Diceros bicornis minor: one gene and its partner. The protein of the gene in region 1 purifies or fractionates together with the protein of each later gene. This does not show direct contact. Links are inferred from orthologs where the notes say so. Each region holds a gene or a part of one and is shown on either strand. Other genes may lie near its edges.

The links. Proteins that work in one complex are often made in the same cells at the same time.
Region 2: the proteins of FBXW7 (region 1) and MED13L purify together in Homo sapiens (affinity purification with mass spectrometry; 4 studies listed by BioGRID, with this or other methods). This does not show direct contact. The link is inferred for Diceros bicornis minor from reciprocal best matches to the Homo sapiens genes FBXW7 and MED13L.

What each region holds. Positions count from the first base shown.
Region 1 is NC_080750.1:40,826,107-40,833,255, reverse strand, and holds the start of FBXW7 (F-box/WD repeat-containing protein 7), read left to right. Parts: upstream 1-4,131; 5' UTR 4,132-5,174; intron 5,175-7,149. UniProt on the Homo sapiens protein: Substrate recognition component of a SCF (SKP1-CUL1-F-box protein) E3 ubiquitin-protein ligase complex which mediates the ubiquitination and subsequent proteasomal degradation of target proteins.
Region 2 is NC_080774.1:13,709,117-13,716,438, reverse strand, and holds the start of MED13L (mediator of RNA polymerase II transcription subunit 13-like), read left to right. Parts: upstream 1-4,305; 5' UTR 4,306-4,386; coding exon 4,387-4,458; intron 4,459-7,322. UniProt on the Homo sapiens protein: Component of the Mediator complex, a coactivator involved in the regulated transcription of nearly all RNA polymerase II-dependent genes.

The DNA.
Region 1 (7,149 bases):
AAAGAAAAAGCCATTGTGACTTTTATAAAATGAACGAACCTGGGAAATGAAAAAAAAAAAAAGTGTACTGGGGAAACACTTTGTTACATAGTTGGCTATAAAATACAAAGCAGCAAAGAATAGAGTTTAGTTACATAGATTCAAGAGAGTAAAAATTGTCTTTACATATTTGAGGGAAACTAAATCACAATAAAACCCAAAACCACTATGAGGGATTCCAGCAATAATTTAATAGTTGAAAGCATGACATTATTTTGGATGGTAAAAAAATAAAAAAATAGTCTTCACTACACCTGGTGGTGTAGTGGTTTAAGTTTGTGTGCTCTGCTTTTGCAGCTTGGGGTTCACAGGTTCGGATCCTGGGTGTGAACCTACACACCACTTATCAAACCATGCTGTGGCAGTGTCCCATATAAAGTAGAGGAAGATGGGCACGGATGTTAGCCCAAGGCCAATCTTCCTCAGGAAAAAAAAAAAAGGATTGGCAACAGATGTTAGCTCAGGGCTAATGTTCCTCAAAAAAAAAATAAAAAATAGTCTTATAGTCTTACTTTTAAGAAGTTTATAATCAAATTCATAAAAGATAATTAGGTAAACTATCATTATTCTTACTTTGGAAAGAACTTGTCCCAAATATAACTCATTTGGTAGCATTACCTTACCTGAAATATATTGTTCAAATGTGTACTCTAAAAAGATATCGGAAAATGGGGCATCTCAGAGATTAGGCATGAAAAAGATAATAACACACTTCACAAAAGAGGAAACCCAAATGGCTAGCTGATACATGAAAAGGTCCTCAATAGCATCAGTAATCAAGGAAATGCAACTTAAAACCACAATGATATACTACTACATACCCACCAGACAGGCAAAACTGAAGACTGATAATACCAAGTGTGGTTGAGGGTGTGGTACAACAGGATTCATACATGGTCAGTGTGAGCATAACACTTTAGAAAACAGCATGGTGTTATTTACTCAAGTTTATGACACACATAACCACTCCCAGGTATATACCATACAGAACTATAGATGTGATGGAAAAAATCTATGAAGGATGTTCACAGCAGCGTTTATAACAGCCCCAAATTGGAAACAACCTAGATGTCCATTAACAATAGAATGGTTAAATAAATTATGGCATATTGCTACAATGGAACATTTGTAATATGCAGCAATTAAAATGAACAGATTACAGCTATATGAACCCAAACAACGTACAGGTTAAAAACGATGTTGTGCAAAAGCAGTAAGCACAACAGATTACAAATTATGTTGTTCCATTTAATAAAGTTCAAAATAAAGGGCAAAACTAAACAATATATTGTTTAGGGATGCATGCTTGTGACAAAACAATAGAGAAAAACAAGGAAATGATTATCACAAAAGTTAGAATAATGGTCACCTCTAAAAGGGAGGGAAAGACTTGTGTTCAGGAAGGTCACTGGGGGGCTTCCGGGGTGCTGGCAATGTTCTATTTCTTGACCTGGTGAGTCACACTGAGGTTTCTTTTATAATTACTCATTATACTGAATAACTGCTTTATGCATTTTAATGTATATTTCACAATAAAAATGCTAAAAGTAATTGAATACTGTAGACAGCATTTCTAGAAAGAAATTTTGCCAGATAATTTAGCTTATGAAATCTTTGACAGTAAAAACCACTGATGTGGGATAATAAAACATTAAACAGTTTCTCATAAGAGCTCACTTTCAAGCGTAGGAGAAAAGAACCCTACGCAAATATCCCTTTGTTATATTTTAACAGAGTATGCAAATCTTTATCACAAACAAATTGATGAACCGGGGAAAGAACTCTGTTACCTCAAACTTCAGATTTTTTTGGAATTTTGAATGAACCGTTTTCTCCCCTGGATTAATAAGAAATGAAAGAACTAAAGAGATGTAGACCACCATGGAAATGTATGAACTTCCTCCTCTCCAGTCACCAGTTCCAGCTGTTTCCTCCAGTTATCATGCTGGGTGGTGAGGTGGGTGGATCTTGCCCAGTAAGCTCAGTGCAGCTGTTACTTTGTAAGTAGGTGGCTGAGGGCTCTCCTGAGTGCCATTCTGTCTCTCAGCACTAAGGTTCTAAGGTGGAGCCACTGACAACGAAAACAGATCAGGCTGCTGAAAAACCCCACGTGGTACCCACCTTTCTGGAGGCATCCTCTGCTGGTTTGCCGTGCTCTGATGTTTGCACTCTTTTTATCCAAAGCCCATAGAATTTAAAATCTGAGGTGCTCAGGCTTCACAAAATCCGCTATATCTGTGCGTTTTACTCTGTCAATTTCCACCAGGAAATTAGCAAGAGGGGCAAAACCAAAAAAGATCTATTTTGTAGCCATGTTGGGCCATCACTTAGTGGTCTGATTCCCTATGAATCTCATTTGGAAGGACATGGCAGGGGATTGGTCATGAAAAGACAGTTAAATCCAGGGTAGCTTAAGCAGGATAGTTAACCTGGCTCTTGGAACTTCGAATCAAGGGCAGGTGGGCAGGTGCCACTTTGTGAGTCTCTTCTTGCTTCTGCAACATCCCCCTCCACCTTCCCATCACTTTTTCTGTGCACTTTTCTGCACTTTAATAAAAATGAGCCCCTGGATTTCCCCAGTTAGAAGTTTCCTTGGTTTACTGTTTGCATGCGGCGGTGGCAGTTGCGGCAGAAACTCTGAGCTTCCCAAATCTCTCTATAAAAACTTGCTCCTTATTCCCTGAGGCGGAAAGACTTGTAATATCCATTATTGCTGCTTCTAGAGGAGGTAGGGTGTGCCAGGGTCCAGCGACAGAACGGTGGAATCCGCTTCCTTTCATCATTGTTGCTGCTTTCATCTCATTCTCACACTGTTCACCACGACAGGTTCAAGAGAGATTTCTGAGGATTCTGGTTTTTTTACCCTAAAATTTATTTTCCTAGAGAACTACACTTTCAACTTCATGAGTTTTTACTTGAATTTACCTTCCAGGATAACATCTGTAGGAAAAGCTGCACAATAGTAATAATATTTATTTTAGAAAGGAAATAGCCTTTGAGTCAGACCTGAAACACAGGCCAAAATTTCTTGATGACGGTAACGGACACTGATTAACAGCCAAGTCAGCTCTCCAAAGCTTCAAACAACAAGCAAGAACGATTCCTAAAAGTGAGGCCCTACTAAATTCTCCCCCTGAAAAACAGTCGACAATCCTTCCACAATCTCTGGGAGGATGGCTCCCTTCCCTCACCCCGGTAATTCCCCTCCTTTTTCACTCAAGACTCAGGTTGTGACTCCGTACTCAAGCCGCACCCCTATTTCCTTTCATGGGAGGGGGCGGGGGGAAGAAGAGATGTATTACAACTCTAATCTTTACAATGCTATGCAGTTTACAAAGCGCTTGCAACTTCCATCAACTCCTCTGAGCTCCGCGAGCGCCACGTGAGGCATTCATTCATTCATCAAACATTTGCTCCGCTCGACCACACGTTATCGGGCGCTGGGTCTCACCCCACACCACGAGAAGGGTGGAGTGCTCGCTCCCTGGAGCAGGTGCAGAGGGTCAGGCTGTAGGACAACTTCTCGCTCAGTCAGGCTTTTCGAAAGCCCATTTGGGGCCAAATGCCTCACCTTCGGGTGGTGTGCGCCCGAGCATGGCCGCGCGGCCTGGGCCTCCTCCTCGCTCCCAAAGGAGCAGTCACCACCTGCCCTGAAGGAAACCGCTAAGAGCAAGCTCTCTCCGCCGCCCTCGGGTCAGGGGTAAGATCAGGCGGCAGCTTAGGCTCCACTCGGCTCCTCCCCTTCCTCTCTTCAGTTCTGACGCGGCCGTAGAGGCGGCGGCAGCGGCGGCGAGTCCCGCGGCCCCAGTCGCACCCACCCGCTCGCCCAGCCCCGACTTCCTCTTCCCTTTGAGCGTCATCACAGCGCGCCAGAGTCGCCCAAGGCAGGGTGATTGGAAAGAGAAAAAAAGGCCAGCGGAGGAAGCCTCCGAGCGGAAAGACAAGGGAGGGGGGAGGAGAGCGGTTGCTAGGTGACTTGCGTCATCGGTCTGCGCCGCTTTCCTCCCGCCCCTCTCTCTGGAGTGAGGCGAGAGCCCCGCACAGAGCGAGCGAGACAGCGAGCTGAGCTCCGGGCGCTACCGCCGCCGCCGCCGCCGCCGCCGCCGCCGCCAAGAGCGTGAGAGCGAGGGAGCATCCGAGAGACCTAGCCCCCGTGCACTGGCCGCCGCCAAGACCTCCGCCCTAAGCTGGGCCAGCGGGAGCCGCCGCCACCCCGCCTCTCCCCCCCTCACCTTCCCGGCCGGCAGCGGCGGCTGCACACGCCGGAGCCCGAGCCTGAGCCCGAGCCGGCGGCTGGGGGGCAGGGAGGCGGCTACTCGGGCCGGGACTAGTGAGCTGCTCCGCGGTGAGGGGACGCTGAGGAGGGGCCGGAGCTTCTATCTCGTCCCGGGGCGCGGGGCTCGGGACCCCCAAGGTGTAGGGAGGGGGGCCCAGCCGCAGCGACACATGCGGGAGCCGGGAGCGGGGGCGGCGCCGAGCGGAGCCGGCCGGGTCCCCCACCTCGCCGCCGCCTCGGCCACCCTCCCGGGCCCGTAGCATCTCGCCCCGGAGTGTATGAGCCGGGGCCCCAAGCTCAGCAGCCACCCCCCGACCGGGGGGGCGGGGACCCCGATGTGAAGCGGCGGCCGGGGCGGCGGGGAGAGCAGGACCGGCGCCGCCGTCCTTTCCTTCCCTTCCCCCTCCCCTCTGCCCCCTCGGGGGTCTTCTCCCTTGGCCAGTTGCCGGCCCCCCGACTCCTCGGCTGGACTCCGGGAGGAGTTCTTAGAGCCCCCTCCCCCGCCCCAGGGCGGCGGGGCCGGGGGGGACCCGGGGGGCCGGCCGCAGCCTCCGCCCAGAGGAAACTTTTATAAAGATAAAATCCGGAGCCTCCCAAACCTGACTATCCCGGGAGAAGTGACCCAGGACGGGCAGGACACACAGCTTGAAGAGACCCAGGAAGAGGAAAAGGAGGTAAGCGGGGCCGCCGCCGCCTCTGCTCCGGCAGCGCGGAAGAGACCCGAGTGGCCGTCTGCTTTAGCGACACCAGCACCGCTTCTTCCTCACTAACTCGCCGGAGCCTTCCGCAGCTGCCGCCTCGGTGCGAAGGAGGAAGGGAACCAACCCACTTTCCCAGCGCCACGGCTCTTCTGTAAAGTGTGAGTGGCCGGGGAGGGGGAATTGAGGGGTAGCGAGTGGGAGGATGCCGGTGGGACCTCCTGGAGTTTTGCTGATGTTTTCCGGGAGTGTTGGGAGTGTATGGATGAGAGGGTGTACCCTAATACCTCACTGCGGGGAGGAGGTATTAGGTAGTCCTGTGTTCTGGAACCTTTTAGCTCTTTGTACGTGTAATACGCAAGCTTACAGGTTTCTCTTAGCGCTGAGTTCTGTCTTTCTCTAGAGTGGACACTTGCACCTTTCTGCCAGTAATTGGCAAAAGGAAATTGAGGAGGCCAGAACATATGTGCACACAAAGGACATCTCTGTAATATACCTTTTCCTGGTACACCGGTGTGAGTAGCGCTGTAGTTCTTGTTTCTGGGCAAATCTTATTTTGCTTCCCAAGTGGGAACCTCTTTTACCCTGTGCACCCTGAAAGTAAAAGTCTTTTCTTTTTTCTACAGTCTTCCTTGAGAGATTTTCCTATTGGTACAAGAGTTTTTTACCTTCTCGTTTTTGGGGTCCAGTTCCTGTGGGTCAGGAGGATACTGTAACAGATTTTAATCACTCAGGAAATTCTGAGTTCTTAAGAATCACAACTTTTGGGGGAGAGCGTTTAGTACTTTAACTAGTTTATAAAAGTTGTTACATTTTTTCCTTTCCTAAATGCTTTTTTTTTTTTGGAGTAGCATATGTTCTAATTGCTAGCGCTTTTTTATTTGACACGAATGACTTGAGGCTTTGCTTGTTTGTGTTGTCTATACTTCTCTATTAAATGAGGAGAAACTTTTCGTATTTAATTCTTTGAAGAACGATTTTTTTCTTCCCTTATTTTATTTTATTTATTTATTTATTTTTGTGAGGAAGATCAGCCCTGAGCTAACATCCATGCTAATCCTCCTCTTTTTTTTTTTACTGAGGAAGACCGGCTCTGAGCTAACATCTGTTGCCAATCCTCCTCCTTTTTTTCCGCCAAAGCCCCAGTAGATAGTTGTATGTCATAGTTGCACATCCTTCTAGTTGCTGTATGTGGGACGCCGCCTCAGCATGGCCGGAGAAGCGGTGCCTCGGTGTGCGCCCCGGATCTGAACCCCCGGCCGCCAGTAGCGGAGCGACTGCGCTTAACTGCTAAGCCACTGGCTGGCCCTCTTCCCTTATTTTAAAGGTGAAGTCTATAAAATCTTTGATTTGTGTTTTAGATATCTTCTCAGAGTGCCAAATTAAGGTGCAGGAAAGTAGTTAACATTTTGTAAATTTATACAGACCTTAAGCATTAAGTGTAGGGTGGAATTTTATATAAAGAACATAAGCAGTACTATATGAGAATGATGGTTCCTCCAGACAACTGTGTGGGTTCGCTGTTTCTGAAGCCACTGCTGAGAGAAGCTTTGTGGGAATGAATGTAAGCCTGGGGTTATCTATGCTGACTTCTCCAGTCAGGATCTTGATTAAATTTATTTAAAACTTTCTCAAACAGTGTTTTCATCCTGTACTTTTCTCTTTTGAAGTAATGAGTTCTACACCCCCTGAATTATGTAACAATTCATTTATTTATCCCAAACCTCTTTAAAGTTCCAAGACACATCCAGAGTTTGTTTTGAAAAATTCTAGAACAAGCTGGAGTTTATCTTTTCCTGGTTTTATAGATTTTGATTGTTCCTCTTTACCATCATCTTTCCTGACTCTTTTTGTCTGTCTTAGAATAATTTCTTCAATCCCTTTGGTCACTTTGCTCTCCTCTGGAACTTCTCCTGCTGCTTTGTTTTTCTTTAGGTACCTTGTTCTTGTCATGCTTTTGTAAGGAGCCTTAAATTCTGTCTATTTTAAATGGGTACTGACATGAAAATATTAAGCAGTGGATATAATGTTAGATGTGGAATCAAAAACAAATGTCTCTGGATTTGTTGTCTTATTTTGTGACCTTGAGGAAGTCATGTATCCGATGTTTCACGAAGATAGGAAGAAGAGAAATCT
Region 2 (7,322 bases), on another chromosome or scaffold:
TTGGTTATCCTAGTGGGGGAGAGAGAACAGGACTCCCTTTTCTTGGTATGCTCCTATATCATTTGATTTGCTCTAGCTAACATTTTGTTATTTATAATAAAATAAATCCAATAAAGCTTAGGTTAAAGGGAAAAAAGCTGCAAGTGATGTGACTGGGTGCCACTTTCCACTGTACGAGGATGGACTAGTGACTGTGATTGTTATAATTTTTTGATCACCGTCTATGGGGCCGGGCACTGTGCTAAGAACTTTCTCTGTGTTATCACCCTGGGAGGTCAATGCACAGGAAGAAATGGGGGTCACAGGGCTTAAATGACCTGCTCAAGGCTGCACAGCTCTACAGCTCTGTGCACGACAGAGCAGGGATTGGAACCCAGGTGTGTCTTACTCTGAAGCAACAGTCTTAACTCCTGCAAAATGCTCCCACCCTGCAGCTGTGGTGGTTTCCTGTGGTCTCTCGAATAGGTGGTTCCTCCTCTGGTCATATTTTTGCTTCCATTTTCTCTCTGCCATTACATTTGGTAACCATGAAAGGGAACTAACCTGTCATTCTCAGAATAAGACCTGAGACTTGTGCAGAGTGGAACGTCTATTTCCTGCCGGGGCAGCAGGCATTCTCACAAATGGAGAAACTAAGTCAGGAGGATGCTTCTGATGAGGTCCCCACATACGGAACTGTACTCAGAAGTCCCAGTGCCTGGTACCTTGCTGCTTCCTAGTAGTCAGTTGATGGTTTTTGTTTTCTTTTCTTTTCATCTTATCTCCTGAGGCTTTCCATCAACTCCCATTGCTTTCTCTATTGAGTAAGAACTCTGCAGATCTTTATCAGTCCTCTCAACTGTGCAGAATCAACCAAGTCTTCTTGCTAGAAATGACTTGAAGGATCACCCCGGCTGCCCTGTTCACACATGAGGAAACTGAGGCCCGGAGAGGTTGAGGGGCTTGTCTGAGCTAACAGGGCTGCTCAGTGGCACATCTGAGACTAGAACCCAGTTCCCCTGGGTTCTCCTTCTGTCCTCATGTTGCCAGGGCAATTGCACACTGCACTTTTGGCCTTTTCCCTTCCACTCTGGGGCCTTGGCTTTGACAGCCAAGGTAATCCCCTCAGATGAGGTTTTTTCTTTTGTCTTGTGTTGTTTATTTGCTTTTTAATTTCCTTTTATGGTGCCATTTGATTATTCTGTTTTCAATTTTATTTATTTATTGATTTGTGTTGTTTATAACACTGCATTGAGCAGGTAATATACATATTCAGAAAAAAGAAAGAAAGAAAACGCAAACAGTACAGTGAAAAGTACTCTCCTCACCCTCTTCCCACCCTGACTCCCATCCCTAGAGGCAACTGATATTACTAGAGTCTCGGGTAACCTTCCAGAGATACTCAATTAATAAGCTATTTTTGAGATTATTTTATATGAGACACATAGTGATAACTCATTATTTTTAATGGCTACACGGAATTAAATTACGTTGTTAACTACTCCCCAAATGATGGACATGTAGGTTGTTTCCAGTTTTTGCCCAGCAAATAGTACTATAATTCATGTCCTTGTGCTACAGGTCTTTATACATCTGCACAAGTATCTCTGTAGGATAAAATTCTAGAACTAGAATTGCTGGGTCAAAGGGTACATGCATTATAAATTTCGATGTCTCCAAATTGACACCGAAAGCTGTGGTGCTAATTTATATTCCCACTGACAGTATATCAGAGTTCTGCTTCCCTCCATATTTGCCTAAGCTTTTAAAATATTGCCAATACTTATTATGGTTTTAGTTTGTTTTTCTTATAATGAATGTCTTAGTCTGCTTGGGCTGCCATAACAAATTACCAGGGACTGGGTGGCTTAAATGACAGAAATTTATTTCTCACAATTCTGGAGGCTGGGAAGTCCAACATCAAGGTGCCCGTTTAGTTCCTGGTAAGAGCCCTCTTTGTGGTCATGACTTTGTACAGCAGAAAGACAGAGACACAGAGAGAGAGAGAGACAGAGAGAGGGGAGAGGAGGGGAGGGGAGGGGAGTGAGGAAGAGAAAGCATTCTCTCTCAAGTCTTGTCTTACAAGGGCACTAATCTCATCATGAGGGCTCCACCCTTGTGACCTAACCGTCTGCCAAAGGCTCCATCTCTGAATACCATCACACTAGGGATTAGGGGTTCCACGTATGAATTTGAGGCGGACACAAACATTCAGTCCATAGCAACGAGTGAGGTTGAGCATCTTTTTATATACTTAAAAGCCATGTCTTTCCTATTCTCTAAACTGTCCATATCCTTAGCTCATTTTTCTATTGGGTTGCTCTGGGAGACTTACTAACAAGTTAAACCTAAACTTACTGAAGAATGAGAATTTGGTGACCAGGTGTGTAGGATGAAGGCCCCTTGGGATATAATGGACCATCCCACCGACTGATTGCTCAGGCCCAAGTAACACCATGCATGTTGATAAAGCACTTTGTATATACATTCATTATAACATAGTGTCAGCGGGTTATAACCTAGTGTCAGCCTTGATAATAATATATGTAACACGCTGCTCATGGGTTTCACTTTAGCAGTTATTTGTGTAAGTTCTAAAGCTCAATTCACACGTCTAAGACTTCTCTCCTTTTATTACACTCCATCTTTCCCCTGTTTCTACTCTTCCTCTCTTTTAGTCCAATCCACCTGAAACAGCTGACTCTTCCAAGTTGGTGGCTTGTTGGCGAAGAAGTTGTTCTCTCCTTCCCACCTTTGCCGGAAGCAAAGCCTTGAGGGCTGGGAGACAGCCTCCTCTTACTGGCACACCTCTGGACTCCCAGGCCATATGCTCTCAGAAAATGTTGGTCATTGAATGAATGTAGCCAAGAGGGAGGGTCTGCTCCCAACACAGCCCTAGCACAGCGCCTGGCAGTTATAACATATTCCGGCACGTGGCAAGAGGTAAGGAAACACTGACGCAATGAGTGAATGAATGTCTGCACACAGTGCCTAGGAGTAAGGCCTCAAAAGGCTTTCCTGTATTCAGCGCATAGTGCCTGGTACACAGTAAGCGCTCACTAAGTGGCAGCCCCGAATATCCCTGGACGAGTCTTATAAAACCTAGCGCAAGAGCTTGGCTTGACTGTGCCTGGGTACGGGGGTTCGAATCCCGCCCCCTCCAGTTCCCAGCTGTGCGACCTCGGGCAAGTGACTTAATCTCTTTGTGCTTCAGTTTTCTCAGCCGCAGAACGCCGACGGCGGAGTGCGACCTCGACGCGACACTCCCGGGAGCCCCTGGACCTGCTGCCCGGCCCACTGCGAGCCCCCGCCACGCCAGCTGGCCTGGGCGGTCGGGGGCACTCGCGGGGGGCCCGAGCCCTCGGCCGTGGCCGCCACGGGCGTTCCCGGGGCTCGCGGTCGCGCCTCGTCGGGATCCGTGCACCCGAGGGGGCGGGGCGCGGCGCCCACGCGGGACAGCGCACGGCAGCCCCGGCCGGCCGGCCGGCCGCCGCCCGCACTTCTTTCTCTGCCTCTCCGCCTCCCTCCCTCTCCCGGCCCGAGAAGCCGGCCGCGCTCGGCTCAGCAGCGCCGCCCGCGAGCCGCCGCCGCCGCAGCCGCTCCCGGCCCCTCCCCCGCCCGCCCTCCGCCCCCCCGCGCGGCCGGCGCCCGTCACGTGACGCGGCGCCAGCCAATGGCGGGCCGAGCCGCGGTCGGCGGCCGCCATTGCTGTCAGAGCGAGCGAGCCCGGGGAGGGAGGAGAAGCGAGGCTGACTGGGGAGGAGGGGGGGGTGGGGGAGGAAGAGGAAGGAGGGGACGTCGCTCGGCTGCCGGGGTCGCCCGCTGGCTTCGTCCGCACCCCCCCCTTCGCGAGTTCGCGCTCCGCGGCGGCGGCGGCTCCGAGGCGGCGGCGGTGGCTCCGGGGCTCGCCTCCCCTCACGCGCCGGCGGGGGCAGAGGGGGAGTCGGTGGCTGGAGATAAACAAGGCGGCGGCGGCGGCGGCGGCGGAGGAACAGGGAAGGCGGAGGCGGCGGCCGGCCCGCAGCGCCAGCCCGGGAGGCAGCGGCGGCCCTGAGAGGCGGGGAGGGCGCCGGGCCGCGCGGACAGCGCCCCCCGCCGCCGCCGGAGCCGCGGCAGCCGCCGCCGCCGCCGCCGCCCGAGCAGGAAGGAGCCGCGCGGCCGCCGCGGACCCCCCCGCCGGCCCGGGCCCGCCGCCCCCGGCGCGGCGTCGCCGCGGCGCCTCCCGCCCGCCCGCCGGCCCTCGCGCCCTCCCCCGGCGGCGGCGGCGGCGGCGGCGGCGGCGGCGGCGGCGGCGGCGGCGGCCCGGCCGCCCGCGCTCCCCGGCGAGGCGCCGCCGCCCGGCCCGGCCTCGCCTCGGACGCCTCGCTCCGACATGCCCCGCTCTGGCGGCCGGGCTCGCGGAGGATCATGACTGCGGCAGCGAACTGGGTGGCGAACGGGGCGAGCCTGGAGGATTGTCACTCCAACCTCTTCTCGCTGGTGAGTAGCCGGGCGGCGGGGAGGGGGCCGGGCCGGGGGGGGGTCCCCGACCTCCGCCGCCGACCAACTTTCTCCTCCCGCCGCCGGGACGTGCCCCTCCCTCGCCTCTCCCCGCCGCTCGCCTCTCGCCGCGTCTCCCCCTTTTGGATCGTCGCTCCTCGCCTTGGCTCCCCTCCAGTGTTTATTTGGCTCTTTAAAAATCATTTGTGAGCGCGGCGCTCGGCGTGGAATTTGCATGTGGAAGTCTCAGAGCTGCGGATTCTGGGTCGCACTTCGAACGCCCACCCTCTGTTGCCATCACACCCCCTTCCTCTCCCCTCTTCCCCCCTTTTTTCCCCTAAATGTGGAAGGCTTTGCCTTGTGCTGCCCGTGCCTGCGATCGGCAGCCTTTTCCCCCCTTGTCGGGTCGACTGCCCGCTCGCCCGCCCGGCTTTTGAATTTTTTTAAAATTCCATAATGACACCTGCAATTTCGCCCGAAAACAGTTGATCGAATGCGATGGTGTCAGTAAAGGACTCTGGCACCCGGAGCTCCCGCGATTGTAAACACCGACAGCCGCCCGCCTCTCGGGGCTTACTACGCTGGAGAGCCGGAAAGCCATTGCACCGAGCCGACGGAAGGTGGAGAAAGCTTTTTCTTCTCTCTCTCTCCTCCTGTGTCTTTTAAAAACTGTTTTCTCTATCCTAACAACGAATCCACACACACAAAAAAGCAACAAGCTGGGCGGCTGGATAACATCGCTTTTATCTGCCTTCGCCTCTCTCGCGCGCTCTCGCTGGTAATTGACAACTTTTCCTTGGGATTTGAATCGCCTGCCTTAATCTTGAAGCAGTTAGGGTGTCAATTGTTCTCCTGGAAGCCTGGCACCCGACGACGGCGTCTAGATTCATGGAAATTAAAAATGTATAGGGCTCCAGCAACTCTTTCCTGGCGGTCGCAGTGACATTTGGTGGTAAATGCCATCTCTGCTTTTTATTGGGTCGTATTACCTAGCTCTGAAAACATTCATGTTGTTAAACCTGGCGTTTAGGCTAATAATTGCAGTACGTGGTCTTTAAATATGTGCTTTGTGCAGGAGTTACTGTATGTATAGCTATGTGCCCGGGAGACTACGAATTTGTTTAAATATTGAGCAAAGATTTGTAAACAGATGTAAGGCAATTATGTTTCAAGCGTAGAATATAATTGGAAAATTGGCTGAACGGTTTGTTTAATTTAGCCTTAAAAAAACCAACTTATTTTAAGTTGTGTACCTTTTTTGGGGGAACTGACTTTTGGAGCGCATGCATTTTGGAAATTGTTTTCTGTAACCTCTGCTGCAGATGGGAGCATTATTTCCTCTTAATCCTTGTTTACACTGGATAAATAATTTAGTGTTCAAATTGTAATTAGTTACATTTAATTATGGGTAGCATAGAGGCTTTTTTTCTTTGAGACTAGTGGAGACATACAAATTCTTGCCAACTTTTCAAATAAAAGTGTTATTTTATTCAATATGTTTCATTATGCAGATAAAAAAAATCAAAACATGCGATTTTTACCTACAGTGACCCGAGTGACATAGTATCCATGTTTTTGCTGTGGTAAGATCAGGTCAATTTTATTTTTCTTCCAACATTTTTATTCAGATATTTAATTTTAAAATTCAGTTACAAGTTGCTCTTCTTCCTCTCAGGACTGTGATTATTTTCCCTTGATCTTTTGGTATGTGGGAATAAAACTCATTTTGCATCCTCTTTTCTCCCCCTCATTCTGTCATTTAGTATCAGGTTCAGGGACTTCGTAGATTAGCAAACATATTGATTAAGGGATATTTTAAATGGTTTTTGTTTGGTGGCTGGTGACCACATTGACACTTTAACAGGTAATTAAAATAACCAAGTAGACCAATATTAGTGAGGAGAGATCCCCCAAATTACCATATATCATGCTGACTGGTAATGGCTTGGGTATGTGTGGCTAATTTATATACAGTAGATTTTGTAGACAAATGAAAGTATATTATATGTGTAGCCAGTCTTTAAGATACATCATTTCTTTTATCTTTTATTTTTTTTTTAAGCTTAAGTAAGGGTGATAATGTTATAGAGATAAGATGCTTGAGATTCTTTTGGAGAAACAATTTTGTGGGAGAGGATTCTGTGCTTTATGACCAACTAAAGATTAATGCTTTGGGTATTTTCTCTTAAACCTCTTTAAACCAGGAATTGATTTTTGAATATACTTTTTTTTTTTTTTTTAAACAGAATTACTCTTTAGGTAGCAACTTTGAAATGCAGAACTGCAGAAATGCATGCTTTGATTTTTTTTTTTTTTAAAGGACTAGAGAAAGTCTACATTCTCTTGTATGCAGAGGGTGGATAAGGTGCTATTTTTTTAAAATTACAAATCAGTTAAAAAGGTGCTGATATTGTAAATTTTTCTCATTCAAATTTGAGATTTTTTTGGAAAATTAGATATAGCAGCAAGAACATTAAAAATATGTTGCTTAAAGTACATTGTATAGTATAGTTAATTCCAAAGGAGATAAAATCATCACCTGTTTAAAATAAAGCATGTATTATAAGAACTCTGTGTGCTTAATAATAGCATATATGTGCTTTTTTGGCCTGCAGTATTTTTGAGCAGAGAAAAGTATTGTTTATATAGAATTTACCTAGATACTCATGTTAATGTAGATTGAAATATAAACTAGAGATGAAAGTTCTGTACCACATTAATGACCCACCCACTTTCTATTACCTTTAGGTGTTCGTTCTAGTTTAGCAAAAGTTGATTGTGCAATCAGCTGCCTTAAGATTTTTGTTAGTCTTTTACTTACTTTGCTTTCTGATTGTCTGCTGCATGGCATCAAATTTCCTCAA